Macaca mulatta: one gene and its partners. The protein of the gene in region 1 binds, or shares a complex with, the protein of each later gene. Links are inferred from orthologs where the notes say so. Each region holds a gene or a part of one and is shown on either strand. Other genes may lie near its edges. The genes, in order: RHOA, PKN1, ARHGEF25, ARHGEF12, ARHGEF28, MYO9B and NET1.

What was found.
Region 2: the proteins of RHOA (region 1) and PKN1 are in contact, whole or in part, in a crystal structure (PDB 1CXZ), measured with the Homo sapiens proteins. The link is inferred for Macaca mulatta from reciprocal best matches to the Homo sapiens genes RHOA and PKN1. Residues at the interface, in NP_001300870.1 of Homo sapiens: Met1, Ala2, Phe25, Ser26, Lys27, Asp28, Gln29, Val43, Asp45, Ile46, Glu47, Gln52, Glu54, Thr163, Lys164, Arg168, Glu169; in NP_002732.3 of Homo sapiens: Glu40, Arg43, Arg44, Ile46, Arg47, Leu50, Lys51, Lys53, Glu54, Glu57, Asn58, Arg60, Arg61, Leu77, Arg78, Ser81, Leu84, Asp85, His88.
Region 3: the proteins of RHOA (region 1) and ARHGEF25 are in contact, whole or in part, in a crystal structure (PDB 2RGN), measured with the Homo sapiens proteins. The link is inferred for Macaca mulatta from reciprocal best matches to the Homo sapiens genes RHOA and ARHGEF25. Residues at the interface, in NP_001300870.1 of Homo sapiens: Arg5, Tyr34, Pro36, Thr37, Val38, Glu40, Asn41, Val43, Asp45, Glu54, Trp58, Asp59, Ala61, Gly62, Gln63, Asp65, Tyr66, Asp67, Arg68, Leu69, Leu72, Pro75, Asp76; in NP_891992.3 of Homo sapiens: Tyr163, Val164, Glu167, Thr171, Met174, Tyr175, Asp178, Cys253, Lys256, Pro257, Glu260, Ser264, Arg275, Arg281, Leu282, Asn285, Asp286, Ile289, Lys290, Val292, Gln293, Arg294, Met296, Lys297, Gln299, Leu300, Leu301, Cys327, Pro330, Lys331.
Region 4: the proteins of RHOA (region 1) and ARHGEF12 are in contact, whole or in part, in a crystal structure (PDB 1X86), measured with the Homo sapiens proteins. The link is inferred for Macaca mulatta from reciprocal best matches to the Homo sapiens genes RHOA and ARHGEF12. Residues at the interface, in NP_001300870.1 of Homo sapiens: Arg5, Lys7, Thr19, Lys27, Val33, Tyr34, Pro36, Thr37, Val38, Phe39, Glu40, Asn41, Val43, Asp45, Glu54, Trp58, Asp59, Ala61, Gly62, Gln63, Tyr66, Asp67, Arg68, Leu69, Leu72, Ser73, Asp76, Glu97; in NP_056128.1 of Homo sapiens: Pro766, Asn768, Gln770, Glu790, Val791, Glu794, Thr798, Ala801, Cys888, Gln891, Pro892, Lys899, Arg922, Arg923, Leu924, Gln925, Lys927, Asp928, Pro931, Thr932, Met934, Gln935, Thr938, Lys939, Leu942, Leu943, Asn946, Arg968, Leu971, Asn972.
Region 5: the proteins of RHOA (region 1) and ARHGEF28 are in contact, whole or in part, in a crystal structure (PDB 6BC0), measured with the Homo sapiens proteins. The link is inferred for Macaca mulatta from reciprocal best matches to the Homo sapiens genes RHOA and ARHGEF28. Residues at the interface, in NP_001300870.1 of Homo sapiens: Arg5, Val38, Phe39, Glu40, Asn41, Tyr42, Val43, Glu54, Ala56, Trp58, Arg68, Leu69, Leu72; in NP_001171164.1 of Homo sapiens: Lys1140, Ile1142, Arg1144, Glu1145, Val1146, Ala1147, Asn1148, Glu1149, Phe1154, Ile1156, Ala1158, Ser1159, Ser1160, Pro1163, Glu1164, Met1165.
Region 6: the proteins of RHOA (region 1) and MYO9B are in contact, whole or in part, in a crystal structure (PDB 5HPY), measured with the Homo sapiens proteins. The link is inferred for Macaca mulatta from reciprocal best matches to the Homo sapiens genes RHOA and MYO9B. Residues at the interface, in NP_001300870.1 of Homo sapiens: Asp13, Gly14, Ala15, Glu32, Tyr34, Val35, Pro36, Val38, Phe39, Gln63, Glu64, Asp65, Tyr66, Arg68, Leu69, Leu72, Asp90, Glu93, Asn94, Glu97; in NP_004136.2 of Homo sapiens: Glu1731, Gly1732, Arg1735, Lys1736, Ser1737, Gly1738, Ala1739, Ala1740, Arg1744, Lys1772, Gln1773, Arg1776, Arg1840, Met1841, Ala1845, Ile1848, Ile1849, Pro1852, Cys1853, Arg1856, Pro1863, Leu1864, Ser1866, Met1867, Val1870, Thr1874.
Region 7: the proteins of RHOA (region 1) and NET1 are in contact, whole or in part, in a crystal structure (PDB 4XH9), measured with the Homo sapiens proteins. The link is inferred for Macaca mulatta from reciprocal best matches to the Homo sapiens genes RHOA and NET1. Residues at the interface, in NP_001300870.1 of Homo sapiens: Arg5, Lys7, Tyr34, Pro36, Thr37, Val38, Phe39, Glu40, Asn41, Tyr42, Val43, Asp45, Glu54, Trp58, Ala61, Gly62, Gln63, Tyr66, Asp67, Arg68, Leu69, Arg70, Leu72, Ser73, Pro75, Asp76, Pro96, Thr100, Pro101, Glu102; in NP_001040625.1 of Homo sapiens: Glu177, Ala178, Glu181, Gln270, Leu271, Lys274, Lys281, Gln291, Leu294, Glu295, Arg300, Lys301, Leu302, Asp303, Trp305, Ser306, Asp309, Arg312, Ser313, Arg314, Val316, Lys317, Leu320, Leu321, Glu324, Gln347, Leu350, Ser351, Ile353, Asn354.

What each region holds. Positions count from the first base shown.
Region 1 is NC_133407.1:112,848,108-112,852,297, forward strand, and holds the start of RHOA (transforming protein RhoA), read right to left. Parts: upstream 2,801-4,190; 5' UTR 2,184-2,800; intron 1-2,183. UniProt on the Homo sapiens protein: Small GTPase which cycles between an active GTP-bound and an inactive GDP-bound state.
Region 2 is NC_133424.1:15,077,248-15,080,747, reverse strand, and holds part of PKN1 (serine/threonine-protein kinase N1), read right to left. Parts: intron 2,984-3,500; coding exon of another isoform or gene 2,941-2,983; coding exon 2,861-2,940; intron 2,781-2,860; coding exon 2,705-2,780; intron 2,620-2,704; coding exon 2,528-2,619; intron 1,165-2,527; coding exon 988-1,164; intron 755-987; coding exon 692-754; intron 594-691; coding exon 517-593; intron 343-516; coding exon 200-342; intron 1-199. UniProt on the Homo sapiens protein: PKC-related serine/threonine-protein kinase involved in various processes such as regulation of the intermediate filaments of the actin cytoskeleton, cell migration, tumor cell invasion and transcription regulation.
Region 3 is NC_133416.1:64,778,498-64,782,750, reverse strand, and holds the start of ARHGEF25 (rho guanine nucleotide exchange factor 25), read right to left. Parts: upstream 2,801-4,253; 5' UTR 2,519-2,800; coding exon 2,420-2,518; intron 2,166-2,419; coding exon 2,051-2,165; intron 1,303-2,050; exon of another isoform or gene 842-1,302; coding exon of another isoform or gene 745-841; intron 692-744; exon of another isoform or gene 327-691; coding exon of another isoform or gene 275-326; intron 1-274. Other genes in the region: putative E3 ubiquitin-protein ligase DTX3, read right to left, coding at 3,813-4,217. UniProt on the Homo sapiens protein: May play a role in actin cytoskeleton reorganization in different tissues since its activation induces formation of actin stress fibers. It works as a guanine nucleotide exchange factor for Rho family of small GTPases.
Region 4 is NC_133419.1:121,160,609-121,164,108, forward strand, and holds part of ARHGEF12 (rho guanine nucleotide exchange factor 12), read left to right. Parts: intron 1-663; coding exon 664-831; intron 832-1,971; coding exon 1,972-2,059; intron 2,060-2,541; coding exon 2,542-2,628; intron 2,629-2,769; coding exon 2,770-2,849; intron 2,850-3,478; coding exon 3,479-3,500. UniProt on the Homo sapiens protein: May play a role in the regulation of RhoA GTPase by guanine nucleotide-binding alpha-12 (GNA12) and alpha-13 (GNA13). Acts as guanine nucleotide exchange factor (GEF) for RhoA GTPase and may act as GTPase-activating protein (GAP) for GNA12 and GNA13.
Region 5 is NC_133411.1:80,273,916-80,277,415, reverse strand, and holds part of ARHGEF28 (rho guanine nucleotide exchange factor 28), read right to left. Parts: intron 2,658-3,500; coding exon 2,479-2,657; intron 1,514-2,478; coding exon 1,422-1,513; intron 294-1,421; coding exon 111-293; intron 1-110. UniProt on the Homo sapiens protein: Functions as a RHOA-specific guanine nucleotide exchange factor regulating signaling pathways downstream of integrins and growth factor receptors. Functions in axonal branching, synapse formation and dendritic morphogenesis.
Region 6 is NC_133424.1:17,671,812-17,675,311, forward strand, and holds part of MYO9B (unconventional myosin-IXb), read left to right. Parts: coding exon 1-102; intron 103-1,630; coding exon 1,631-1,947; intron 1,948-3,435; coding exon 3,436-3,500. UniProt on the Homo sapiens protein: Myosins are actin-based motor molecules with ATPase activity. Unconventional myosins serve in intracellular movements. Binds actin with high affinity both in the absence and presence of ATP and its mechanochemical activity is inhibited by calcium ions.
Region 7 is NC_133414.1:7,018,856-7,021,755, reverse strand, and holds part of NET1 (neuroepithelial cell-transforming gene 1 protein), read right to left. Parts: intron 2,827-2,900; coding exon 2,730-2,826; intron 2,592-2,729; coding exon 2,515-2,591; intron 1,808-2,514; coding exon 1,550-1,807; intron 1,125-1,549; coding exon 954-1,124; intron 1-953. UniProt on the Homo sapiens protein: Acts as a guanine nucleotide exchange factor (GEF) for RhoA GTPase. May be involved in activation of the SAPK/JNK pathway Stimulates genotoxic stress-induced RHOB activity in breast cancer cells leading to their cell death.

The DNA of each region.
Region 1 (4,190 bases):
TTTATCAAACTGGTGGTTTGTGGTGGCTCGTGCCTACAATCCCAGGGCTTTGTGGGGCTGAGACGAGAGGATCACTTAAGACCAGGAGTTCAAGACCAGCCTGAGCAACTTAGTGAGACCCCTCTCTCTACAAAAAAATAATTAAAAACTAAAAATGTAGCCAGGCGTGGTGGTGCATACCTGCAACCCTAGCTACTCAAGAGGCTGAAGTGGAGAATTCTTGGGCCTAGGAGGTTGAGGATGCAGTAAGCTATGATTCCGACACTGTACTTCAGCTGGGTGACAGAACAAGACCCTGTGTCTAAAAAAAAATATATCAAACTATCATTTAAAGTATATGCATTTTGGCCGGGCGCGGTGGCTCAAGCCTGTAATCCCAGCACTTTGGGAGGCCGAGACGGGTGGATCACGAGGTCAGGAGATCGAGACCATCCTGGATAACACGGTGAAACCCCGTCTCTACTAAGAAATACAAAAAACTAGCCGGGTGAGGTGGCGGGCGCCTGTAGTCCCAGCTACTCGGGAGGCTGAGGCCGGAGAATGGCGTGAACCCGGGAGGCGGAGCTTGCAGTGAGCTGAGATCCGGCCACTGCACTCCAGCCTGGGTGACAGAGCGAGACTCCGTCTCAAAAAAAAATAATAATAAAATAAAATAAAGTATATGCATTTTATTGTACGCAAATTATACCTCCATGAAGGTGATTAAAACAAACCTCAGGTGATTCCAACTTGGGGAACTGGATTCCAAGTCTGGAAAGAGCCGAGTCTAGGAAACATGTTCTTAAGCACCAGGAACCAAGTAGTAAGCCCTGTTTTATTCCAAGAGATCTTAGGGCGCTACTCCCGCTACCCTTCCCCTGCCCTGCCAAAAAAAGGTACTACAAACTGTAACCTGAATAGTGAAAGTTGAAGATAGCTGGACTCAGTGGCTCACGCCCATACTTCCAGCACTTTGGGAGTCTGAGGTGGGAGGATTGTTTGAGCCCAGGAGTCTGAGACCAACCTGGGCAAGACATTGAGATTCCATCTCTACGAAAGGTAAAAATATTAGCTGGGCGCAGTTGCACACACACCTGTAGTCCCAGCTACTCGGGAGGCTGAGGTGGAAGGATACCCTGACACCAAAAGCTGGAGGCCACCATGAGCTAAGATTATGCCACTGCACTCCAGCCTGGAAGACAAAACAATACCTTATCCAAAAAAAAAAAAAAAAAAGGCCGGGCGCTGTGGCTCACACCCATAATCCCAGTACTTTGGGAAGCCGAGGCAAGTGGATCACGAGGTCATGAGTTCGAGACCAGCCTGGCCAACATAGTGAAACTCCGTCTCTAGTGAAAAAACAAACACAAAAACACACACAAAAAATTTAGCTGGGCATGGTGGCGCGCGCCTGTAGTCCCAGCTACTTGGGAGGCTGAGGCAGGAGAATCGCTTGCACTGGGTAGGCAGAGGTTGCAGTGAGCCAAGATTGTGCCACTACACTCCAGCTTGGACAACAGAGCAAGCCTCCGTCTCAAAAAAAAAAAAGGCCAGGCACGGTGGCTCACGGCTGTAATACTAGCAACTATGGGAGGCCAAGGTAGGCGGACTGCCTGAACACAGGAGATGGAGACCAGCCTGGGCAACACGGTAAAACCCCGTCTCTGCTAAAATACAAAACAAAAATTAGCCGGGCGTGGCAGCATGCACCTGTAGTCCCAGTTTACCTGGGAGGCTAAGACAGGAGAATCGCATGAACCTGGGAGGCGGAGGTTGCAGGGCGCCGAGATCATGCCACTGTACTCCGGCCTGGGCGACAGAGCCAGACTCGGTCTCCAAAAAAAAAGTAATAAAAAAAGTAGGCCAGGCGCGGTGGCTCACACCTGTAATTCCAGCACTTTGGGAGGTGGAGGCAGGCAGATCACCTGAGGTCAGGAGATCGAAACCATCCTGGCTAACATCGTGAAAACCAGTCTGTGCTAAAAATACAAAAAATTGCTGGGCGCAGTGGCTCAAGCCTGTAATCCCAGCACTTTGGGAGGCCGAGACGGGCGGATCACGAGGCCAGGAGATCGAGACCATCCTGGCTAACACGGTGAAACCCCGTCTCTACTGAAAAATACAAAAAAAAACTAGCCGGGTGAGGTGGCGGGCGCCTGTAGTCCCAGCTACTCCGGAGGCCGAGGCAGGAGAATGGCGTGGACCCGGGAGGCGGAGCTTGCAGTGAGCTGAGATCCGGCCACTGCACAGAGCGAGACTCCATCTCAAAAAAAATAAAAATAAATGAAAAAAAATAAAAATAAAAATAAAAAGACAAAAAATTAGCCGGGCATGGTGGCACATGCGTGTAATCCCAACTACTCAGGAGGCTGAGGCAGGAGAATCGCTTGAACCTGAGAGGTGGAGATTGCAGTAAGCTGGGATCGTGCCATTGCACTCCAGCCTGTGCAACAAGAGCAAAACTTCATCTCAAAAAATAAATAAATATAATAAGTTAGCTGAAAGGCTGCTGTCTGGCACTTGAGGTAAGTGCTTCTCTCTCACTGAAATCTCATAGTGCTCGCTTACCATTCCCTTTCTACAGAAGAAAAAAACTGAATCAAAAAGGAATCATATTACTGTCAAGGGTCTCAAGCCATCAAGTGTCAGAGCTAGTATTTAACTGTCAGCTTCTCTCCAGAATCCATGCTCTTAAATAAGATACTCTACTGCCTTCCTTTTCTTTGTGTTTGTGTTTGAGACAGAGTTGCCCAGGCTGGAGTGCTGTGATCTTGGAGCACTGCAACCTCCACCTCCCAAGTTCGAGCAATTCTCCTGCTTCAGCCTCCTGAGTAGCTGGGATTACAGTAACCCACTAACACACCTGGCTAATTTTTGTAGTTTTAGTAGAGATGGGGTTTCACCATGTTGGTCAGACTGGTTTTGAACTCCTGACCTCAGGTGATCCACCCACCTTGGCCTCCCAAAGTGCTGGAATAAAGGCGTGAGCCACTGTATGCAGCTTGCCTTCCTTTTCTGAACTTAATATCTTTAAAAGATAAACAGCTTCATTATGAATAACTGGAGAAGTTAAACAAGAGATTTCATCCAGAAAAGAAATTTTCCACACACACACAAAACATCTCTGAACAAAATTGCTGTATCACATAATAAAATTATCTTGTAGAGAAAAGGATTAACAAAGTGCTACAACATCAATATCCATCCTAAATTTACTTCCTTAACCTCTCAAAGCCTATATCCCAAACAACAAACGGAGTTACAAAAAAATATCCTGGTAATAGAGCATGTGATCTCTAAGTCCAGAGAATCACAACTCATCTGCAACATACAGAGTAGGATACAATGGCCACAAGAATACAGTAAAATAAAAATGTATACATAACAAAAGTTAGAATGTTCAACCATATACCTAAAGTCAAAACAAGCAACTTTTTAAAATTATGGAACTGAATTCTTGTGATTTAGAGCAGCTATAAGCTTCAGAAGTTAAAAATCTTGGCCAGGGTAGCTCACGCCCATAATTCCAGCAGGAAGCTGAGGTGGGTGGATTGCCTGAGGTCAGGAATTTGAGACCAGCCTGGCCGACATGGTATAATTCTTGTCTCTACTAAAATACAAAATACAAAAATTAGCCGGGGGTGGTGGGCAGGTGGTGGTTGGCACCTGTAATCGAGCTACTGGGGAGGCTGAGGCACGAGCATTGCTTGACTCACACCTGTAATCCTAGCACTTTGGGAGGCTGAGACAGGAGGACCACTTGAGCCCAGGAGTACAAGATCAGTCTAGGCAACATAGCAACACCCCATCTCTAATACAAAAAAAGAAGAAAAAAATAAAGCAAAAAAAAATTTTTTTTTTTAGACGGAGTCTCGCTCTGTCGCCCAGGCTGGGGTGCAGTGGCCTGATCTCAGCTCACTGCAAGCTCCACTTCCCGGGTTTACGCCATTCTCCTGCCTCAGCCTCCCGAGTAGCTGGGACTACAGACGCCCGCCACCTCGCCTGGCTAGTTTTTTGTATTTCTTAGTAGAAACGGGGTTTCACCGTGTTAGCCAGCCAGGATGGCCTCGATCCCCTGACCTCGTGATCCACCCGTCTCGGCCTCCCAAAGTGCTGGGATTACAGGCTTGAGCCCCCGTGCCTGGCCAGCAAAAAAAATTTTAACACAAATCCTTGGTGGCTCACGCCTGTAATCCCAACACCTTGGGAGG
Region 2 (3,500 bases), on another chromosome or scaffold:
CCCAGCCCGGCCTGCTGCAGCTCTTGGGTGCTGGCTAACTCGGGCAGGGAAATGTCCCATTTTATAGAGGTGGAAACTGAGGCCAGGGAGCCAGAGCAGCCCTCAATCACACAGCACTTGGTGGAGGCAGACTTGGATCCCACCCTAGGGCACACGCAGTTTCCAGTGAGATCCGAGACACACAGGGGTGGGGTCTCACCTCGCCAACCAGCATCTCGTAGAGCAGCACACCCAGCCCCCACCAGTCCACAGCCCGCGTGTATGAAGTGTCCGTCAGCACCTCAGGGGCCAGGAACTCCGGGGTCCCACAAAATGTGCTGGTCCGGTCCCCATAGCCCATCCCTGGGGACAGCAAGGCCATGTGAGGTTATGGGGGCCAGAGGAGTCATTCAGCCCAATGTGGGGTTGTCCACACAGCCAGCCCTGTCCCAGGGTCAGGGTGGGGGGTACCCCAAGTAGGGTTAGGGACCCCATTCCTTCCCGCTCCTTTGTCTAATCCCGAGGCCAGTCCCTCACCCTCCTTGCAGAGGCCAAAGTCTGTGATCTTGACGTAGCCCTCGGTGTCCAGAAGCAAATTGTCCAACTTCAGGTCCCTGTTGGGGGTTGGGGGATGGAAAGAGGGATGAGCGGGGGTCTGGGCCCTGTCCCCACAACGGGCAGTGTGCACATGCATGCGCGCACACACACACACCTGTAGACAATCTTGTGTTCATGAAGAAACTGTAGGCCCAGCACCACGCAGGCGGAATAAAAGCTGCAGAGAGAGAGGCTGCTGAGGGGTGGGGCCACCCTGCAAGCAGGGAGGGTCACATAAGCCTGGTTCCCACAACCTCAAAAGCCCCCCCAGTCTCCCCAAAGCTCTGGGAGGCTGGGGGAAGCAAGGCCTGAGGGTGGAGGGGTGAGAAGCAGGCTGCCGGCCTCTCGAGGGGACTGAAATGTCAGACGCTGTGGAGGGAGGCGGGGCCCGGGCCGGGGGGCCAGGCTCACACGGCACGAGGCTCAGAGAACACGTCGCTGTGGATGTGAAGCATCAGGTCCCCACCGGCCGAGTACTCCATCACGAAGCACACGTGCTCCGGTGTCTGGAAACAGCCAAAGAGGTTCACCAGGAAGGGATGTCCCGCATTGGTCACTGCCGCCAAGATCCGCTTCTCACACATCAGGCTGGGGAGGGGTGGGGGACAGAAGTCAGAGACCATGGCCGCCGCTTACCCCCGACTCCCAGACGGCAAGCAAAGCCCATACAGAGGGAAGCAGAACTGAGAAATGTCATCTCAGCACCTGGATACAGCCATGCCTGAAGGCAGCACACTCCTGGACTTTTCTGATGCAGACCAATACATTTCTTTACTTGTTTCTGAGTTGGGTTCCTGATTATCAAAAGAATGCTGGGAAGACCAAGGACAATCTCAGTGCCTGTACCGAATGTTTAGAGGGGTTAGGCACTGTGTAGACAGCACCTGACAACCGTGTGTGTGGAAGGCAGCAGCACTCCGCTTCTCCACATCAAGAGGGGTTCTTTTTTTTTTTTTTTTTTTGAGACAGAGTCAAGCTGGAGTGCAGTGGCGCGATCTTGGCTCACTGCAACCTCTGCCTCCTGGGTTCAAGTGATTCTCCTGCCTCAGCCTCCCAAATAGGTGGGACTACAGAGGCCCACTACCACACCCGGCTGATTTTTGTATTTTTAGTACAGACGGGGTTTCACCATGTTGGCCATACTGGTCTCGATGTCCTGACCTCGGGTGATCCATGCACCTCGGCCTCCCAAAGTGCTGGGATTACAGGCGTAAGCCACAGTGCCTGGCAAAGAGGCTGAGGTTCTGAAGGGAGAAGTGACCTCCCCAGGATCTCCAAGCCCATGCTGCAGATGTGAGATTTGAACCCAGGATCCTGTCCCCAAAGCAGAGGCAGTATGTTTGCACCACGAAGGGCACAGGCTTCAGAACCTGAGTCTCTAGCTTTGAATCCTGGACCTGCTGCTTACTGGCTGTGTGACCTTGGGTAAATTGCTCAACCTCTCTGTGCCATCAGTATTTACCTTATAGGGCAACATGGAGGAACAAACGAATAACTTTTATAAGAGCTATTATTATCTTGGTATTAGGCTAGTAGGTATTAGTGACTTATTTGTTCTGAGACAGGGTCTCACTGTGTTGCCCAGGCTGGAGTGCAGCGGTGTGATCTCAGCTCACTGCAACCTTGACCTACTAGGCTCAGGTGATCCTCCTATCTCAGCCTCATGAGTAGCTGGGGCTACAAGCACGTACCACCACACTCAGCTAATTATTTTGTATGTTTTGTAAAGATGGGGGTGTCGCCATGTTGCCCAGCCTGGTCTTGAAATTCTGAGCCCAAGTGATCCACCTGCCTCAGCCTCCCAGAGTGCTGGGGTTACAGGAGAGAGCCACCGTGCCTGGCATTAGTGACCACTATGAGTCACTCTCCCTGCAGCTCCAAGGAGAGAACTGCTCTGTCATTTCCCAAAAGAGAAGACAGAGGTCCCCAGAGGACCACGGCAGGTCCCCACCTCTCCACCTCGTCTCGGGCCACAATGTCCCCTTTCTTCAGAGCCTTGATGGCGAACAGCTCCCCACTGGGCCGGAATTCGGAGAGCAGCACCTGGAACCACAGTGGGCAGGGGTGGCTTTAGTGGCCAGCCAGGGACCTGGGGGGGGGTCTCCCAATCCGCTGCCCTCCACCTCACCTTCCCAAAGTGACCCCGGCCCAGCACCGCCAGGAACTTGAAATCCTCAAGGGTCAGAGGCGACTTCCTCAGAGGGCTGTGGAGAGAGGCCACTGGTGAGGACAAGGACAGCAGGCAGGGGTGGGTGGTGGGCAGGGGGCCGGGGAGTGGTGTCACCTGCACAGGGCGGGGCCTGGGGTCTCCTGGGTCTCCGAAGGCAGCTTGGGAGTGATGGAGGATTCCTGGATCGGGGAGCTCTGTGGCGGAGAAGAGGCCAGAGTAAGGGGAGTCAGAGAGGCCCTCATAACCACAACAGCCTCTGAGGCCCTGCAAGATCTGCCCCCCACCTCTCTGTCCTCACCTCTCCTCCCATGCGGCCCCTCACTCACTCTCCTCCAGCCACACGCCTGCACCACCACGCCTGGCTAATTTTTGTACTTTTAGTAGAGATGGGGTTTCACCATGTTGGCCAGGCTGGTCTGGAACTCTTGACCTCAGGTGATCCACCCACCACGGCCTCCCAAAGTGCTGGGATTACAGACGTGAGCCACCACGCCCAGCCCGAATTTTCTTTTTTTTTTTTTTTTAGAGACAGAGTCTTGCTCTGTCGCCCAGGATGGAGTGCAGTGGCACAGTCATAGCTTAGTGCAGCCTTCAACTCTACCTTCACCTCCTGAAGGTAGGGGGTGGGACTAAAGGCTTGCACCACCACACCCAGCTAATTTTTTTTTTTGAGACTGAGTTTCATTCTTGTTACCCAGGCTGGAGTACAATGGCACGATCTCCGTTCATGGCAACCTCCGCCTCCTGGGTTCAA
Region 3 (4,253 bases), on another chromosome or scaffold:
GTAAACACCTGGCTCTCCAGACCTGGAACCCCCAGTTACATGTGGAGGTTCCCCATATCCTGAGCATAGCATAGATATGGGGGTGGGGGCAGCCATCTGGGCAGACACTGGAAGCTGGGGGTGGCCATCTGCTCTCCCACAACCCTCCCCCTTTCAATGGGTACAGACCATTCTCTGGGAAGGGGGGAGGATGAGCTGGGTCCATCTGCCACTCCCAGTCCCCTCCTCCACCAATTGCAGTAATCACTATAAAAAGAAAAGACCTGCAGCCCACCTCCCCAACACATGCGTAGATCCAATAGAGGAGGCCAGTGAGGAGGGTCCATCAGGGTTATCTATGGCCTGGGCTCAGGGACAGAAGAGCTGTGATTCCTTATAAAGCCCCTTGTAGAACCACCTCATTCTCATTCCTCCATTCCCCTGTCCCTCTTCAGAAGTAGATTCTTAGCAAAAGGTTTGAGGAAAGATAATCGGTTCTAGGCCTAAGGGGATTGTGGATGGTTTTTTCTCAAACCCATTTGACTAAGGGAAAGAGATGAGTTCCCTGCCCCTTCCCCAATTTCCATAACTTGAACTAACATAAATTTGGAGGCAGAAGGGACCTTAGGGATCACTTAAGAAACCACTTTGCTGGAAAACGCATACAGTCTCCAACCCTAAATCCCAAGGGCCAGGGCAAACAGATGCCCTGAACCCCCAGCCCGCCCCCCACTCAACACTGGGCCCTTTCGACCTGGCACTCACCACGTCCCCCCCGGGCGAAGCAGCAGCCGCATTTTGCCAGCACTTTTCGGATCACACGGGGACAGGCACAGCGACCCCCTTTGTGCCCCCCCCGCATGGCGCCCGGGCCCCCCCGCGTCCCCCACCCGGGCCGGCCATGCAGGGGGACTCACGGGGGGCGGGGCGGGGACGGCGCTGGGCGCACACCCCCCCTCCCTCCTACCCCGGTCCAGGCTGTGGGAGTGGGGGAGGGAGGGGACCGGGTGGAGGTGTCCAGGGGTAGGCGGAAGTCTAGTCTTGAGGCGGGCTGGGGGTCTCTAGAGAGAGGGAGGCGCAGGGCCCGGCCGCCGGGCTGGGCGGGGAGGGTTTCCGGAACCCTGTCGGTGCGGGGGCCCAGGGTCCAGATGTCCAGTGGAAGTGGGAGGGATGGTAGGGGAGGCTGGGCCGGGATGCGGCAGCGGCTCCAGCTGTCTCCGGCCTCTGGTTGGGGGTGGCTCTAGGCCCGGGCCGGGGAGGAGGCGAGAGCCGACCCCCGAGCTACTGGCGCTGTGCGGGTCCCAGCGGAGCGGCGAGCTGAATAACAGGCCTGGCCGCGGGGCCGCCACGGGGCGGGGCCTCTGCGGCCCAGCTCCGCCCTCTCCATCGCGTTCCCCCTCCTGCCTGCGCCGGGTTCCCGCCCGGATCGCCCCTCCCCCAGGCACCACCACGTTCCCACTCCACGTCCCCAGCGCTTTTTTCCCTCCCCAGCCTGGGCTCCCCCGCCCCGGGGTCCCCCTCCCTCCCGCATCGCGGGCTCTTTGGAGCGCTGGGGTCGGGGTTCAGCCTGTCGGCAGGGTCTGCCCAGGTCTTCCCTTGGCCTCTGAGGTGAAGGAGCACTCGGTGGATGGGGCCTTGGCCTGTGCGAAGATGTTCTGGGTTTGGGGTTGTCCCCGGCCGCGTGGACAGAGGACCCCCGGTACGGGGTGCGTGTATGGGGAGCCTTTTGTGGGTGAACACAACCCAGATGCCGCCCTCTCTCAGAACCCTTCTTTCCTCCAGGCCCCGGGACTCCAGCTAAGACTAATCGCCAATTAAGGCGAAGTCCTGGAGCCCGGGCTGGCGAGGGGCCAGGGGTGGGGCGCGGGGACACTCTGCCTGCGGGGGCTCGGTACCGGCTGGGATGGGGGACACACATTGGACTCGAGGGCGAGAAGAGTGGAGGTCTCTGCGATTAAATGGGTCTCATGCAAATTAGATGCGAACTTTATGCTAATAAAAGCAGAATATTTTTGAATTCGCCACTTGGCGCAGGATAGCAAACTGCCCCACCCCACCCCCAGCTTCTTACCGGGCTGCAGAGCCCAGGCGAGGACCTCATCTTCGCGGTCCCTTCTGTGATCTCCCTCCGTACGTTCAGACTCTGGCTCGGTATCCCCCGACCCTAGGGGGCTTCTCCTCGGGGGCTGCGGGGACAGAACCACTGTAAGGAACCCCCCTTCCTAGGCAGCCCTGACCTCCCCTTTCCCCTTCTCCCACCTGTCAAAATCTACATTATTATAAAAAGGTCGCCCAGAACGGGGCTAAGGCCCTCGTAATGGAACTCATGTATTCCTGCGACTGCCCCGCAGAACTCGTTTTCGGATAAATTGAGTTGTGGGTGCAGCCCTCCTGAAGGCCCCGAAAGACCCCCGACCCCACCACGGGCCCCCATTCTTACCCCCTCCTGCCCGGGGAGGGCGCATGCGCGCAGCATGCTCCCCATGACCCCCAGTATCCGGTCAGTGCGGCCAGGGGCGGGGCGGTCCGGGGGCTTCATACTGAACCCCCACTCAGCTCCACGTTTCAGGGTCGAGGGGGCACGGAAGCTGGGGGGCTTTGAGGCCTGCTCTCGTCCAGGGAGTTGCTGCTGTGGAATCCGCCCCCTGCCCGGCTCCGCCCCCACTCCCACCCCAGCCAAACTTCGCAAAGGGGGTAGGGTTGTTCTTTTCTCTACAACGATGGTTGAACAACAAAAAAACACCCTCTTAATACTAATTCCAACATCGAAGTGTGGCCCAGGGTTTCGCAGTATTACTACAAAGCCCGCTGGTGCATCCCGTTCCCCAGGTCCTCAGGAGGCAGAGGGACTGGGAGGGCACACAGGGATCTCCCTATCACCCCCTCTCCCCTTTCCAGCAGGTCCCTCTCCCCACCCCACCCCCACCCAGTCCCTGGAAAAGAACGGGTGTGGCATGAAGAGTTGCATATTTTACTTTATTTTTATTAAATTAAAAGCTACAGTCTGGCAGCGATTCCAGAACAGGGTAAGGAGGTTCCTCACAGGGGTCAGAGAAGAGCGGAGAAAGACAGACTGACGGAGACTGGGACACAGGAAAGAAAGGACAAGGTTAAGGGAGAACTGTATCTGATGAACACACACAGCCGGCTCCATGGGGGGTGGTGGGGAGCTCATATCAGCCCAATTCCTCCTCTCCAGCACCCTAAGTTCAGCGGTGAAGCAGTATGTGGGGGCAGTTGGGAATCAAGAGACCCTCCCTTCCCCACCCTAGGTCCTTTCTCTGCTTGGTCATGGAGCACAGCACACCAGAAAAAGCCAAGGGCATTGGAGGGGCAGGGAAACGGGGAGTATATGTACACCGGGAGTGGAGAACAGAGCCTTGGAGGTCGGCCTCTGCCAGAAGGGAGTGGCTCACACTGCATTGAAACACTTGGCCGGTGGGGGATGGGGGAAGGGATTGCCCCCTCCCTCTCAGAACGCCCTTCCCAGTCAGACAGGTCCCCTACAGGTGTGTTGTGGGGGGCGGGGGGCAGAGAGGAGAAAGAGGCTTCTGCTGGGTCCTAGTAGAGGTGGACAGCAGGGGCCTTGGCAAAGGCGATGTCCTTCAGTCATCTGTGATACCCTTCGCTCTCAGCTCCTCTTGCACCCGGGTCAGGTAGGTAGGGTCTGGGTACCCAAACCTGGGAGCAAAGAGAAATGAGGGTGAGGGTTGTTAGCTGTTGGAACTTGCTATTATCCCCATGCTCACCCTTATTCTAGGTGACTCAGATACCTCCCCACCTCCCCTAAGGGAGGACACCTCCAAACCCAAGATAACTTAGCCCAATTCTGCTTATTTTTGTAGGCTAAGCTGGGCACACCAGGACCAGGTTGAATGTAGGAGAAACTGAGACGGCTGAACAGTTTGGAAGTGGTCCTCTCCAGTTAGGAGGCTCCCAGAGCAAGGGGTTGGTGGGTCCCTCAGTGGAAATGGAGGAAAGGGGAGGAGCCAAGGGAAAGGAAGTGAAGAGGGGTCGCACAGCTGGGGTCCCCCTGTGCAGCTGGTCTTGTGGTGGATGTCATTCCAGGTGATGACATTCGGTCTCCCTGTGGTCATGGACGTGCCGATAGTGAAGGTGAGACGCTGGTCAAACGCCTTGCGGAACAGGGTCAGCACCTTGTTGCCCTCAGGGCAGTCCGGGAGGTAGGCCACCCGTGTGGTGCCAGGATACCGAACTCCTGGGTTTGGGTGTTCAGCCTAGGAGGAAGGTGAAGCATAGTGGGCAGTGAGCAG
Region 4 (3,500 bases), on another chromosome or scaffold:
AAGAAATAGGAGTTTCCTATGACAAAAGGAAGAGGAGAGAACCATTCTCTCAGCAGTTAGCAGTGCTACCTCGTGTTATTTGTACATTTGTAGATCTGCTTGTGTTATTTCATTATATGTAACGTGTTAAATATTCATTTAGGAATGTAACAGAGATCTGATTTAGTCCTATTTCCATCATTCTTATATTCTAGTAAGTCTTAGTATGCTTTGTAAGCTTTCTTTAGACCAGTACTTCTTAAACTGTCTGTGATGAGGAACTGTTTTTTTTTTTTTTTTCCTCCAAGAAACAAGGTCTTACTATGTTGCCCAGGCTGACGTGTAGTGGCTATTCACAGATGCAGTCATGGTGCACTGCTGCCTCGAACTCCTGGGCTTAAGTGATCCTCCTGCCTTAGCCTCCCTAGTAGCCAGGATTATAGGCGCACACCACCACACCCAGCTTGTTGTTTTTTATTTCCTGTTGGTCACAGATTGACACTTTAGTGAAATACAATAAAAATGAATTATTGAAAATGAAATTTTAAAAGATAATATACAAGTCAATTTTGAACATTTTGTAGCTTTAACAGAAATAAAATTCCTCTGTTGAATCATTATAAAGTTAACCAAAGACGTCCCAATTTCTGTACTTACCATTTTTTTCTGTACTTTTATTTCTAGATTTATACACATTGCTGCTGGAAGACATTCTTGTATTGTTACAAAAGCAGGATGATAGACTGGTGTTAAGGTGTCATAGTAAGATTCTGGCATCTACAGCTGATAGCAAACATACGTTTAGCCCTGTCATTAAGTTGAGTACAGTGTTGGTTCGACAAGTGGCAACAGGCAAGTATGTCCACTGAAGGATACTAATTTCCAGATTCATTGTGAAGTTGCATAAGATACTCATTGCTGTTTAAGTAACACAAGTGGCATAGAGTCTTGCTATTTTTATATTATTAAGCAAATTACGTGAAATTTACTGCTTAGAAAGAGACTTAAGAGTTTATACCCCAAAGTTATTTAGGGTGTCTAGATTCTGTGAATGGTTTTCTGTATTTGAAAATTTTTATGCTATTACTTTGGTTCTTTATGTTCAAATCATTGATAGATCCCAGTGAAAAGCCTTTCATTTAGGGTGGTATGTTTTTTGATTTGGTGAGAAAAAAAATAAAAACTGAAGAGATGGATGGAATTTTGATTAAAAATCAAATTTGACTGGCAAGTTGTATTTTAACTCTATTAACAAAGGTGTCCCTTTTAAAACTTGTTAGTTTCATGGTGGCAAAATAAATTTGTGATCTCTTTTCTCCACTATTCACTGAATATTATTAACAACTTAGCAAAAGGGCAGTTCAAAATAAATGCAAAAGAGTAATAGCATTTAATTTGGTAATTTGGATTTTTTTTTTTTCTTTTGAGACGAGGGTCTCACCCTGTCACCCAGGCTGGAGTTCAGTGGTGCATCCTTGGCACACTGCAACCTCTGCATCCCGTGCTCAAGCAATTCTTCAACCTCAGCCTCCTGAGTAGCTGGGACTACAGGCATGTACCACCATGGCCTGGCTAATTTTTTTGTTTTTTGTAGAGGCAGCGTTTCGCCATGCTGCCCAGGCTGGTCTCGAACTCCTGAGCTCAAAGAAGTCCACCTGCCTCAGCCTTCTAAAGTGCTGGGATTACAGGCATGAGCCACCATGCCCAGCCAGTAATTTGGATTTTTGACATCCTTTTGTTTCTAGTGAATTATTGTGGAATTAGTGCTAATTTGTATAATCTTTGTTTTATTGAAGTACAATAAATATAATACAATAAATAGGTTAATATGGTAAGTTGCACAAATTTTAACTGTACATCTTGATGAATTTTAAAGTAAATATATGTAACCTTTATCTAGTTTAAGGAGAGGACTATTTCAAGACTCTAAAAACATCCCTCATGGTCTCCCAAGATCAGAGTGTTAGAGTAATCTTGTCTTGTTTTTTCCAGATAACAAAGCTTTATTCGTCATCTCCATGTCAGACAATGGAGCTCAGATTTATGAACTGGTGGCACAGACAGTTTCTGAAAAGACTGTGTATGTATTAGATATGGCTACCTTGCTATAGCTACTATTTTCATTATCCCAAGCATAATACTCCATAAACTTAACTTTGTTTTTATAATGTATGGAAACCAAGCACTTCTTCTACTCTTTTAGAGACATTCTACTATGAAATTGTTCTTTTTTAGATTGATGCCTTTTATTTTGATTCTATTCTGGAAGTTTATTTCCTAAAGAAAAAAATATGGAAAACGTCAGCTGAAGTTTTTTTAATGGGTAATGTCTCCATAACGTTAGATTTTTCTTAAGGTATAGTTTTGGACTCTCACCTTAATAGTGTGTTGCCAAAATAAAGATATTCTCTGGCAGAGTGAAGTGTTTTTTTTTTTTTTGGTTGGTTGGTTGATTGGTTTTTGTTTAGTTCTGTTTTTCTTTTTGTTTTGTGAGTATATTTAAAGGATATTTCTTTTGTTGTTTCTTTTTTGTATTTTGGATTTCTTTCCAACTTTCTGAAGCTGGCAGGACCTAATCTGTCGGATGGCTGCATCAGTGAAGGAGCAATCCACAAAGCCAATTCCATTACCCCAGTCAACACCTGGCGAGTGAGTGTTCCTTTGCATTGTAGTAGGACTTATTTTATGTTTTGGGTTGAAAAAGACTAGCATAATTATTACATTTTGTTGCAATGATGTTTAGGTACCTCAGGAAGCTAAAAGATTGTTGTTGTTTTTTTTCCTTTACAGAGGAGATAATGATGAAGAAGATCCTTCAAAATTAAAAGAGGAACAGCATGGCATTTCAGTCACTGGTTTGCAGAGTCCAGGTACACTTTTCTGACAAGTTCAAGGGAGAATGTGCTCTATTATCTGTTAAAATGCTGGCCAGGTGCGGTGACTCAAACCTGTAATCCCAGCACTTTGGGAGGTCAAGATAGGCCGATCACCTGAGGTCAGGAGTTAGAGGCCAACCTGACCAACATGACGAAACCCTGTCTCTAATACAAAAATTAGCCGGGCATGGTGGTGGGTGCCTGTAATCCCAGCTACTTGGGAGGCTGAGGCAGGGAGAATTGCTTGAACCCAGGAAGCAAAGGTTGCAGTGAGCCAAGATCGTGCCATTGCACTACAGCCTGGGCAACTAAGACCAAAATGCCAAAAAAGAAAAAAAAAAAAAAAAAGAAAGAAATAAATGAAATAAAATAAAATAAAATGCAAAGAAACTTTAATACTGTTTGATTTATGCAGGTTCCAGCATCAGAGATTCAGTTTAACAAACTTTGCTTTTGAGCCTTCTGTGTGTCAGTATAACACTGCGCTATGTGCTGTGTATTTTGCTTAACAGATGATCTCTGTAGTTTATGGAGTTGTTTTTCTGATTCTTGCCTGAATGCTTCATGTTAAAAGTTAAAAGCTTTGTTTAGCTGTAGTCTACCTTTTCTATTCCATTGGACAGACAGAGATTTGGGATTAGAAGC
Region 5 (3,500 bases), on another chromosome or scaffold:
TCTTGTTCTGCTGTATCCTCAGCACCAAGACCACAGTGCAAGGCACATAGTAGGTGTTCAATAAACATTTTCTGAACGTGTCAACCCAAACCCTTCTCAAAGCGACTTACCTTCTTTCAGTGCTGCTGCCAGTAATGAGGCTGCCTGGGGAGGCTCGCCTGGGTCAGGTTTAATAAGGAGGTGGGGCTCTAGATGGACGTCCTCAAATCCACTCAGTTCTCCAAGTTCAGCATAGATATGCAGCTTCTCCTCCAAATACGCACAAATTTGTTGGTCTTGGTTAGTGAGCATTTCTATGAAATAGTATTTACCAGAGAAGATTATCACTAACATGAATACTACCACTAATGTGAAAGTCCACGAAAAAGATGTAGCTAATTAGCAAGCAGTATGACCTCCAAGAGAAAGCCCAGGCTGATGAGTAGGGTAGATGCAGGTATCAGTCCTGACCATGCTGCTTAGTGACTCTGGCCTCCAGCAAGTGACTTAACAACTTTCTCAGCTTCCATTGTCTTTTCTGTAAATAAGGTTCCTCTCTCAGTCCCTTAATTCCAGAAAATTTGCAAAGCTATTCTTTGTTTATTCAGGCTGGTTTCTATTAAGACTAAACATTAAGCTTGGGAATGAAAATTGAGGTAGTCCCGTTCATGATGAGTGAACAATACAAATGCCTGGAACGGCACAGGCTTCAGCCAGTTTTGGTCAAAACCAAACATACTGGTTTAAGTTTTTGTTTCTAAACATCCAATTTCTTTGCCCATCTTTGCATGCATCATTGTCCTCAGATTTCAACATATTGCAGAATTCTTAAAGCTCAAAGGGACCTTAACCAGCATTGAATCCAGGAATTCTCAGTCTCCTCTGTGCTTCAAAGTCACCTTGGGAGAGCTGAAAACCCCAAAGTCTACATCCCACCGGCCACAGATTCGGATTCAATTGGTGGAGGGTGAGGCCCAGGTATTCGTATTTTTAAAGACCTCTCAACTGATTCCAATGTCAAACCAGAGTTGAAAATCACTGAGCTAGTCTAATCTCCTTCTTTCACAAACTTGGAAACTGGGGACCAGATCTGTTGGGTTCCTTGTCCAAAATCATTGACATGACAGTGTTGAGACCTAAAATTAAACCATGAGACAAGTAACTCCAACATTCCTCTGTACCACACTGCCCACAGCTATTGTTTCATGTGCATTTTTTACATCCATTTTAATCACTAAGGTGGAAGTGAAGAGAATGTCATCTTATTTGAGCATTTCTAGTGTAAGTTTTTGGTTTTCAGTGTTTCTTGGGAGGGTGGTCCAGATGGGCCTCAGGTGCACAGGATGAATCATGTAGTTATAACCTCCTGTTCATGACACTCAGGCTTTCCCAACACCCAGGAGAACACCACGATCAGGGAGCCAGAAGTGCCTGCACTGTACCTTGACATTGCTGAATTTTGGCCACTCTGGCTTCAGCTTTCCTCTTGTCTTCGTCAGATTCACTTGTCCTTCCCCCTTTTTCTTCAGGACAACTTTAAAAGACAATAGTCAGGAGACACAACTGAAACCAAATGCAAGTATCTGTAGATTCATTGGAAAAACTTGGGAACTTGGCAATGGATTTATTCATAAAGGGAGAAAATTTCAGCATAAAGGGAATGCATCATGCCCCCTGGCCAGAGACTTGTTTTCTTGAGAATACAAAAAATCTTGCATAACATTACATGACTCTCAAAATCAGCGGTGTGGGATGACTCAAATATTCCAGTGAACACAAACACACTCACCACACACACCCATAATGGGAATAAAGTATAAGAATTTTAGGGAATAGAAGTGGGGTGCCAGATCAGATGAGGTGCAGTGGAGGTACAGAAATTGTATATAACTTCAGGATCTAACTAATTAAATTACTGTTGAGAATGATCTCCTCCACCCTTGTGCTCCCAATTATAAAAACTGTCCTTGCACAAGTAATGAGGAATAAATTGACTTAGAATACTTAGATCCACCAATTCAGAAACATTTATTGAATGATTTCTCAGCACTAGGCACACAGAGAAACATAAGACATTGACCCCTGCCCTCGAGGAGCTTCCAATCTAATTAAAGAAACACACACATATGTACATAAAAAAGATAATAGCTACAAGGCAGTATATAAGAAGCATTGAGTAAATGCTTTAGTGAGCAGGTGTTAAAGAATTTCAGGCAAGAAAGAGATCACCAGGACTGAAGAGGTCCTCATGGAGGAGGGGAGGCCCGAGCTGCATCAACGCCTGGCAGGGCACACACAGGCAGAGGGAGGTGCGGGCATTACATGCAGGGAGGCGTGGAGGAGAAAGCTGCAGATGGGGGGCTATCGCAGGCAGGTGCAGGGGGCAGGGAGCAGACCATTCTGGCAGAGGCAAAGTTTTCATGCAGGAAGACATGGTTAGAATATTTTCCCCAGTTGAACAACTCTGTTCCATAGATTATGGACAGAAGGAAATGTTACCTTTCTACAGCCTGCTGGATCCGTCTCATCCAGTTATTGCGTTCCTCCTTGGAATTGGTATGAATTTCATACATCTCAGGACCAGCAGACGAAGCACTGATCAGAAACATTCCTCTCTCCTCATTAGCAACTTCTCTAGCAATAAGCTTTTGAAGGGAAATAACCGATGGCTTCTGATCCTACATAAAATAGGAAGGTGCGCAGATGAAACAGCGTCCTAGCTAAAGTAAGGCTCTCGTAAAACATGAGCTAAAGGAAGCAACGGTAGTAGGTAAACCTTTCTCCACTTCCAATCTTTTCAAAAGAGCTGTAGACGTTGATACAATCTCCCATGGAGACGGTATGGAAAAGAGAGGATGGAAAAAGAGGAATTACGGGAATGCTCATCCTTAAGACCTGGTGATTTAGGCTGGGCACGGCTCCCTCCTATAATACCAGCACTTTGGGAGGCTGAGGCAGGTGAATCACCTGAGGTCAGCAGTTCAAGACCAGCCTGACCAATGTGGTGAAACCCCATCTATACTAAAAATACAAAAATTAGCTGGATGTGGTGGTGTGCGCCTGTAGTCCCAGCTGCTTGGGAGGCTGAGGCACGAGAATTGCTTGAACCTTGGAGGTGCAGGTTGCAGTGAGTGCACTCCAGCCTGGGCAATAGAGCAAGACTCTGTCTCAAAAAAAAAAAAAAAAAAAAAAAGGAATTGGTTGTTTAAAAATTGAACTGTTTAAAATACAGAACAATCAGAGAAGAAAAATATCAAAATGCCATAGTCAAGGCAGGAGTTTTTCTAAGACAGCATGAGATAGGAAACTCATGTGTCAAATGTCACAGAGATTGAGAAGGATGGAGGCCCTAAAAAGTCCATTTGACTTGCAATATTGTTTCAATGAGGTAACTGAAAAGAAGCCCAGAAACTCAGAAGCCCAGCCCGTGGACTATAAAAGATACTAATAGGTGGTAAGACCTTCGACTCCCCAGGCATAACCAATCCTTTTTGCTACTGTCATGTGGGCCACAGCAACAA
Region 6 (3,500 bases), on another chromosome or scaffold:
GTGCTCCTGCCCAAGGATGCCCAGCCCTGCAGGGAGGTCATCTCGACCCTCCTGGAGAAGATGAAGGTAGACAAGAGGAACTACCAGATCGGGAAGACCAAGGTCAGTGCTCCTGCCCCTCGGGGCACTGCAAACCCACACCCTGCCTTCCACCGCACACCGTGTCTTCCCAGGCCCCCAGGGCCACTCTCTGAAACATACAGGGCTCTGTCTAGGAAATGCATTTCTAGGGACCCAGCAGAATACTGCACCTAAGGGATAGGGGCCGCCCTGGCTGAGCCCCACCTGCTGCTCTTCAGCGGGGCTCAGAGACTCCCTCTGCATCACCTGTTTATTGCTGCGTCACAGGTAGGAAAGGGACGATCATGCTAACTGGCAGGATTTAGGAGCTGGTCCATCCCCTTTACAGTATCAGGTGGGAGGCGGCCTGCAATTGTCGTCCCTTTCAGAGATCGTCTCCCATCTCTGGGCATGTGTTTGCCTCTTGCTGTGGGGGCATTATTCAGCCACCCTTGTTTAACAAGTGCCAAGGTCAGTCCCCCAAAGGCCTCACCCGGTGTAAAAAAATTCCCTTCCAGCCAAGCGAGGTAGCACGCGCCCAGAGTCCCAGCTACTTGAAAGCCTGCGGTGGGAGGATCCCTTGAGCCCAGGAGTGTCAGACTAGCCTGGGAAACATAGCGGGACCTCGTCTTTATACAGTATTTAAAAATTAGCCAAGCATGATGGCATGCACCTGTGGTCCCAACTGCTTGGCAGGCTGTGGCAGGAGTTTGAGACTGCAGTGAGCTGTGATTGCACCACTGCACTTCAGCCTGGGTGACCAAGCGAGACCTCATTTCTTTTTCTTTCTTGTTTTTATTTTTGAGACAGAGTCTCACTCTGTCACCCAGACTGGTGGTGCGATCTCAGCTCACTGCAACCTCCACCTCCCAGGTTCAAGTGATTCTCCTGCCTCAGCCTCCGTGCAGCTGGGATTACAGGTGCCCGCCACCACGTCTGACTAATTTTTATATTTTCAGTAGAGACAGGGTTTCGTTACAGGCACACACCTGTAGTCCCAGCGACTCAGGAGGCTGAGGCAGGAGAATCGCTTGAACCCGGGAGGCAGAGGTTGTAGTGAGCTGAGATCGCACCACTGCACTCTAGCCTGTGAGACTCCATCTCAAAAAAAAAAACAGAGCCACACCTAGGTGCAATAGCTCATGCCTGTAATCCCAGCATTTTTGGGAGGCCAGGGTGGGCAGATCAATTGAGGTTGGGAGCTCGAGACCAGCCTGGCCAACATGGTGAAACCCTGTCTCTACTAAAAATACAAAAATTAGCCAGGCCTGGTGATGGGCACCTGTAGTCTCAGCTACTCAGGAGGCTGAGGCAGGAGAATCACCTGAACCCAGTAGGCAGAGGTTGCAGTGAGCCGAGAGGGCGCCACTGCACTCCAGCCTGGGCGACAGAGTGAGACTCCATCTCAAAAAAATAATAAATAAATAAATAAATAAATAAATAAATAAAGCCCTGGTTGGTCAGCACAGCAGCCTGGGTCTCACTCTGGAGTGGGCTATGCAGACCTCCCAGGCACAGAGGTGGTGTCAGGGGCAGCGCGGCTGACCCCACCTGACCCCGTGCCCACCAGGTCTTCCTGAAGGAGACAGAGCGGCAAGCCCTACAGGAGACGCTACACCGGGAGGTGGTGCGGAAAATCCTGCTGCTGCAGAGCTGGTTTCGGATGGTGCTGGAGCGTCGGCACTTCCTGCAGATGAAGCGGGCCGCCGTCACCATCCAGGCCTGCTGGCGGTCCTACCGGGTCCGGAGGGCTCTGGAGAGGACGCAGGCCGCGGTGTACCTCCAGGCCGCATGGAGGGGCTACTGGCAGCGGAAGCTCTACCGGCGCCGGAAACAGAGCATCATCCGCCTGCAGAGCCTCTGCCGGGGGCACCTGCAGCGCAAGAGGTGAGCAGAGCCAGGCCACGCTCCCCAGAATATTCCAGAAGCCAAAAGGGTCACTCACCAAATTGCTGCCCATGATATACCATCTGGCCTGTGGCACTAAGGGGATGTCATTCTGGACACAGGGAAGGGTTGGTGGGAAACTAGATGCCTGGACACACATGGGCTACAGAGAGGGGCTCTGAGGCTGGCAGGCAGCACTCAGGGACAAAGCTCTGCTTTGCCATTGGCTGCACCCATTCTCTGCCCAGGGACTCCCCTGTACCTGGATCGGTCAGGGAGCACCTGGATTCAGGGTTGGAGGGAGCGCCTGGACCAGCCCAACACTCAACATGGAGCTGGGGCATCCACCAGGCACAGAGAACCCCCCAGCAAGATATCAGCAACTCCCGTCCCGGCACCCACAGCTACAAGCCCAGCCCCTCCCTGACCTAGGCACCCTGTGCACCTCTCCCCTGCCACACAGACCCAGCTCTGCCACAGGTCACATCCCAGCTCCCAGAGCAGGCCCTACCCACATGTGCAAATAAGCCTCCTAGGCCAGGTGCAATGGCTCATGCCTGTAATCCCAACACTTTGGGAGGCTTAGGTGGGAGGATCACTTGAACCCAGGAGTATGAGACCAGCCTGGCCAACATAGCAAGATGCCATCTCTACACAAAATTAAAAAGTTAGCTAGGTGTGGTGATGCACACCTGTAGCCCCAGCTATTCAGGAAGCTGAGGCAGGAGGATCACCTGGGTCTGGGATGTGGTGGCTGCAGTGAGCTATGATCACACCACTGCACTCCAGCCTGAGTGACAGAGTCAGACACTGTCTCTAAAAACCAAAAAGGTTGGGCGTATTGGCTCACACCTGTAAGGCCAGCACTTTGGAAGGCCAAGGCAGGCAGATCACATGAGTTTGAGACCAGCCTGGCCAACATGGCAAAACCTCATCTCTACTAAAAATACAAAAATTCGCCGGGCGTGGTGGTGTATGTCTATAATCTCAGTTACTGGGGAGGCCGAGGCACAAGAATCACTTGAACCTGGGAGGCAGAGGTCGCAGCGAGCCAAGATAGTGCCACTGCATTCCAGCCTGGATGACAGAGTGAGACTTTGTCTCAAAAATAAAATAAAATAAATAAAAATAAAAACAAAACAAAAAGCCTCCTAGAAAAAGACTCAAGGGAAAGCCCACAGTGGACCCCAAACGAGTTTGAGGCTTCTTAACAGAACCCACCCACCACAGCCCCAACAAGGGTCCTCTCCCCTAACAAGGCAGCCAGGCAGACACAGGGCAGGAGTATCTGTGACACTGAGGGGGCACCACCCTCAGCCTCCTTTCCTGATCGAGGAGATTCCTGCTTTCCAGAAACATCTCTCAGGGCCACTAGGCACAGGCGAAGCCCCGTCTGCAGCCCACAGGCTGGGGGTCCCATCGGAACTCAGTGGGAGGTGGAAGGAAGGTTTGTTTCTGAACCAGCTGTCTGCTTTTTCCTCACTCCAGCTTCAGCCAGATGATCTTGGAGAAGCAGAAGGCAGAGGAGAAGGAGAGGGAAGCCCTGGAAGCCG
Region 7 (2,900 bases), on another chromosome or scaffold:
TTGTGTTTTTAAGTGACTGAAATATATTGCTAAAATAACTTGATATTATTAATTTCATCAGATTTATTTTTTGAAGATCTCTCTTACTAAGTGACAAATCTAGTAATCATAAAGATGGTGATTTCAAGGCTATGCATGTTCTATTTGGAAAGTTTTTCCAATCTCAGAATAAAAAAAACATTTCTTACTGGTATGTAATATCAGATTAAGCAGCAGCTAAGTGAATGCTCTGCATCACAAAGACCTATTAGTAGTAGCATTGACTTGAAACACTAGTGTTGTATACCACAGTTTTCTAACACAAAGTAGGGATTACAAATGCAAGCTGGTAAAATACTAATGGTTCTATTTTGTCCCACACAAATTTATAACTATAAATTTTTCCCTCATGAGGGAAAAATCAGAGATGTCAGATTTCAAATTTTTTAAACAAAACTCCAACTTACAAATTGGGTTTTTGAAAATGCATGATGAAACAAAAATACCATTCCATGACTGTACTTAGTTCTAGCAGGTACTTTTATAATTAGCATTTTAAAAATAAATTTGCATTCATTCAATCTGCTTCAGAAATTTGTTATGTAATGCTAAAAACCACTTCCATAAGCATAAGATAAACTCTTAAAAGTTTTTTGAAGGATTTTTTTTATTAAACATTTTGGAACTAATATCGTATTTAGAAAGAAACCCCTGGCCAAACAAGTTGATTTATGCTTCAAAACTAAAAAATAAAGTATTACTGATTCTCCACGGAGACATTTAAGGCATCTTATTTATTCTGTAGTCAAAGAAACCAAATGTTGGCTTTATCAAGCTGGTAATATAAAATTAAAATCGGCAACCTTCTTTTACCATGTCATGACTTTACCCTTACCAGCTTGCTTCATAATGAACGTGTGAAAGTTAAAGGGGCAGAGGGAAGGCCGCTCCGCCGCGGCGGTGAAGTCACCTACATGTCCACTCTTGCTCCGCAGCTCCCCGTGGCACAGCAGCACTTTGCTCGCTTCGATTCTGGGGTCCCTCTGCTTTTCATCCAGGTACTCCAGCTTGTCAATGTAATATTGGCACTCGGATTCACCTTTCTTCAAGTTGATATCAGAGAGGACTCCCTGTATTATCGATATCTGAAAATGATAAATAAAATTGACAGAGCAGCTTCAGTTTATTAACTCATCCTGCTTCCCGCAGGGCAAAAATGTCATATGGAATGGAAGAACTTTAAAGCTTGAAGGGACTCCGGAAATCAGTTAATTCTGTCAGTCTGTTCATTTTATAGATCAAGAAACAGTCCTAGCCAAATTGAGTGATTTGTTCAAAGGTGAAAAGGTGAGATCAGATGAGAATCCTGTCCCTTAAGATATAAAATGTGCGAAGTCCAGCACTCACATCTCCTTATTGCTTAGTGCACAGTGTACTAATGCACTGGGTACTTAAAACAACAAAACAATTCACTGTGCTGATGTGAAGCAGCATCTTCAGAAGACAACGTTCTACAGCAGCCTAATGCATAAACTTAAAAAGGAAAACAATCACTTAAGGGACTACTTACAGCATCCTCCAGAAGCTGAACATCAGGGTGCTCTTTTGGAGTGTGTTTAAGAATTTCTTTCAACAGTAAAGGGTATTTGACTAGGCGACTTCGAGGGATATCTAGGAAACTCCAAAGATCTAGTTTTCGACTGAAGGGAGACTCAAGACATCGCTGGAGGAAGTCTTGGACTCTTGGATCCTGTTTCTTTTGATCAAGAAGAGCTTTGGCTGCCAGCTGGTTACTACAGTAGCCTCTGTAGGCATTCAAGCGCGGCAACTGAAGAGTAACAAAAGAAAAGGTATGATGTGTTCCTGTTACAACTGAGCGCATTAACAAGCCTGCAAACATGAAACACAAAATGTACAGCTATTCTTGAGAGTTTTAACAAGCTGTGGACATTTTCTGGCAGATAATAATGGAAGTTGAATACTATTTTAGCAATCATCAAAATGCTCTTCAAATTTTTGTAATTTGGCTAAATCCAAGTGAAGACTCATGACTTCTACTCCCCTCCAACCTCAGACGCCGGCAGTCTGTGCTCTCAGGACACTTGAGTGTCCTCCATTTGCCACCAGCCCTGAGACTGTTTATGTGCTTGGCTATCCCTTCACTAGGCTATAAAGGCAGAGACTGCCTTTCATCATTGACTCCCAGCGACTCCTCCTCGAACAGTGCCCAGCATCTGGCACGCACTGAAACATACATGAAAGAATGCAACGGATAATCACACATAATGTGGCAATTCTATCCAAGCAGGAACATATTTGCAACACAAATCAACCTATAGCATTAATGAAGTTTTTTGTTTTTTTTTTTTTTAGACAGACTGTAATTTCTTATGTCACTGTAAACTTGTTTAGTTTTAATGCCTTATGTGTTTGTAGAACAGAGTTATGGGATCAAATCAATCTCATATTTATCAGAAACTGCAACATGGCACATCTGTAAGAAACTGTATCTGGGGTCAATAACTCACTACATACCCAGTTCACGAGAATGTGACCAATCTGCTCCACTGTTCCATCGGGCTTGGTTGCTTCTCCTATTCTTGTCAACAAATCTGAAGTGATAAAAAAGCATAAACACCATTAACAGGTTTATTTAAAAAATACGTCAGCATTACATTAGAAGTTTAGACTGAAAAATTACGTGCGTTATTGCTCTTTAGATTTAATGACAATTAAGTTGCACATCTAACCTTCATGCAGAGGTATGTAAGAGTCCAGATCACCAAATATATGCGTGAGTTCCTCTTCTGACATGATGGACAACTTTAACATGGGGTCATGATAGGCCTGTCAGAGGGGAGAAATGTGTCACAGAGAGATCGTGTGAGGAAAACATGAGGGATCTATACTTGGAAACAAAG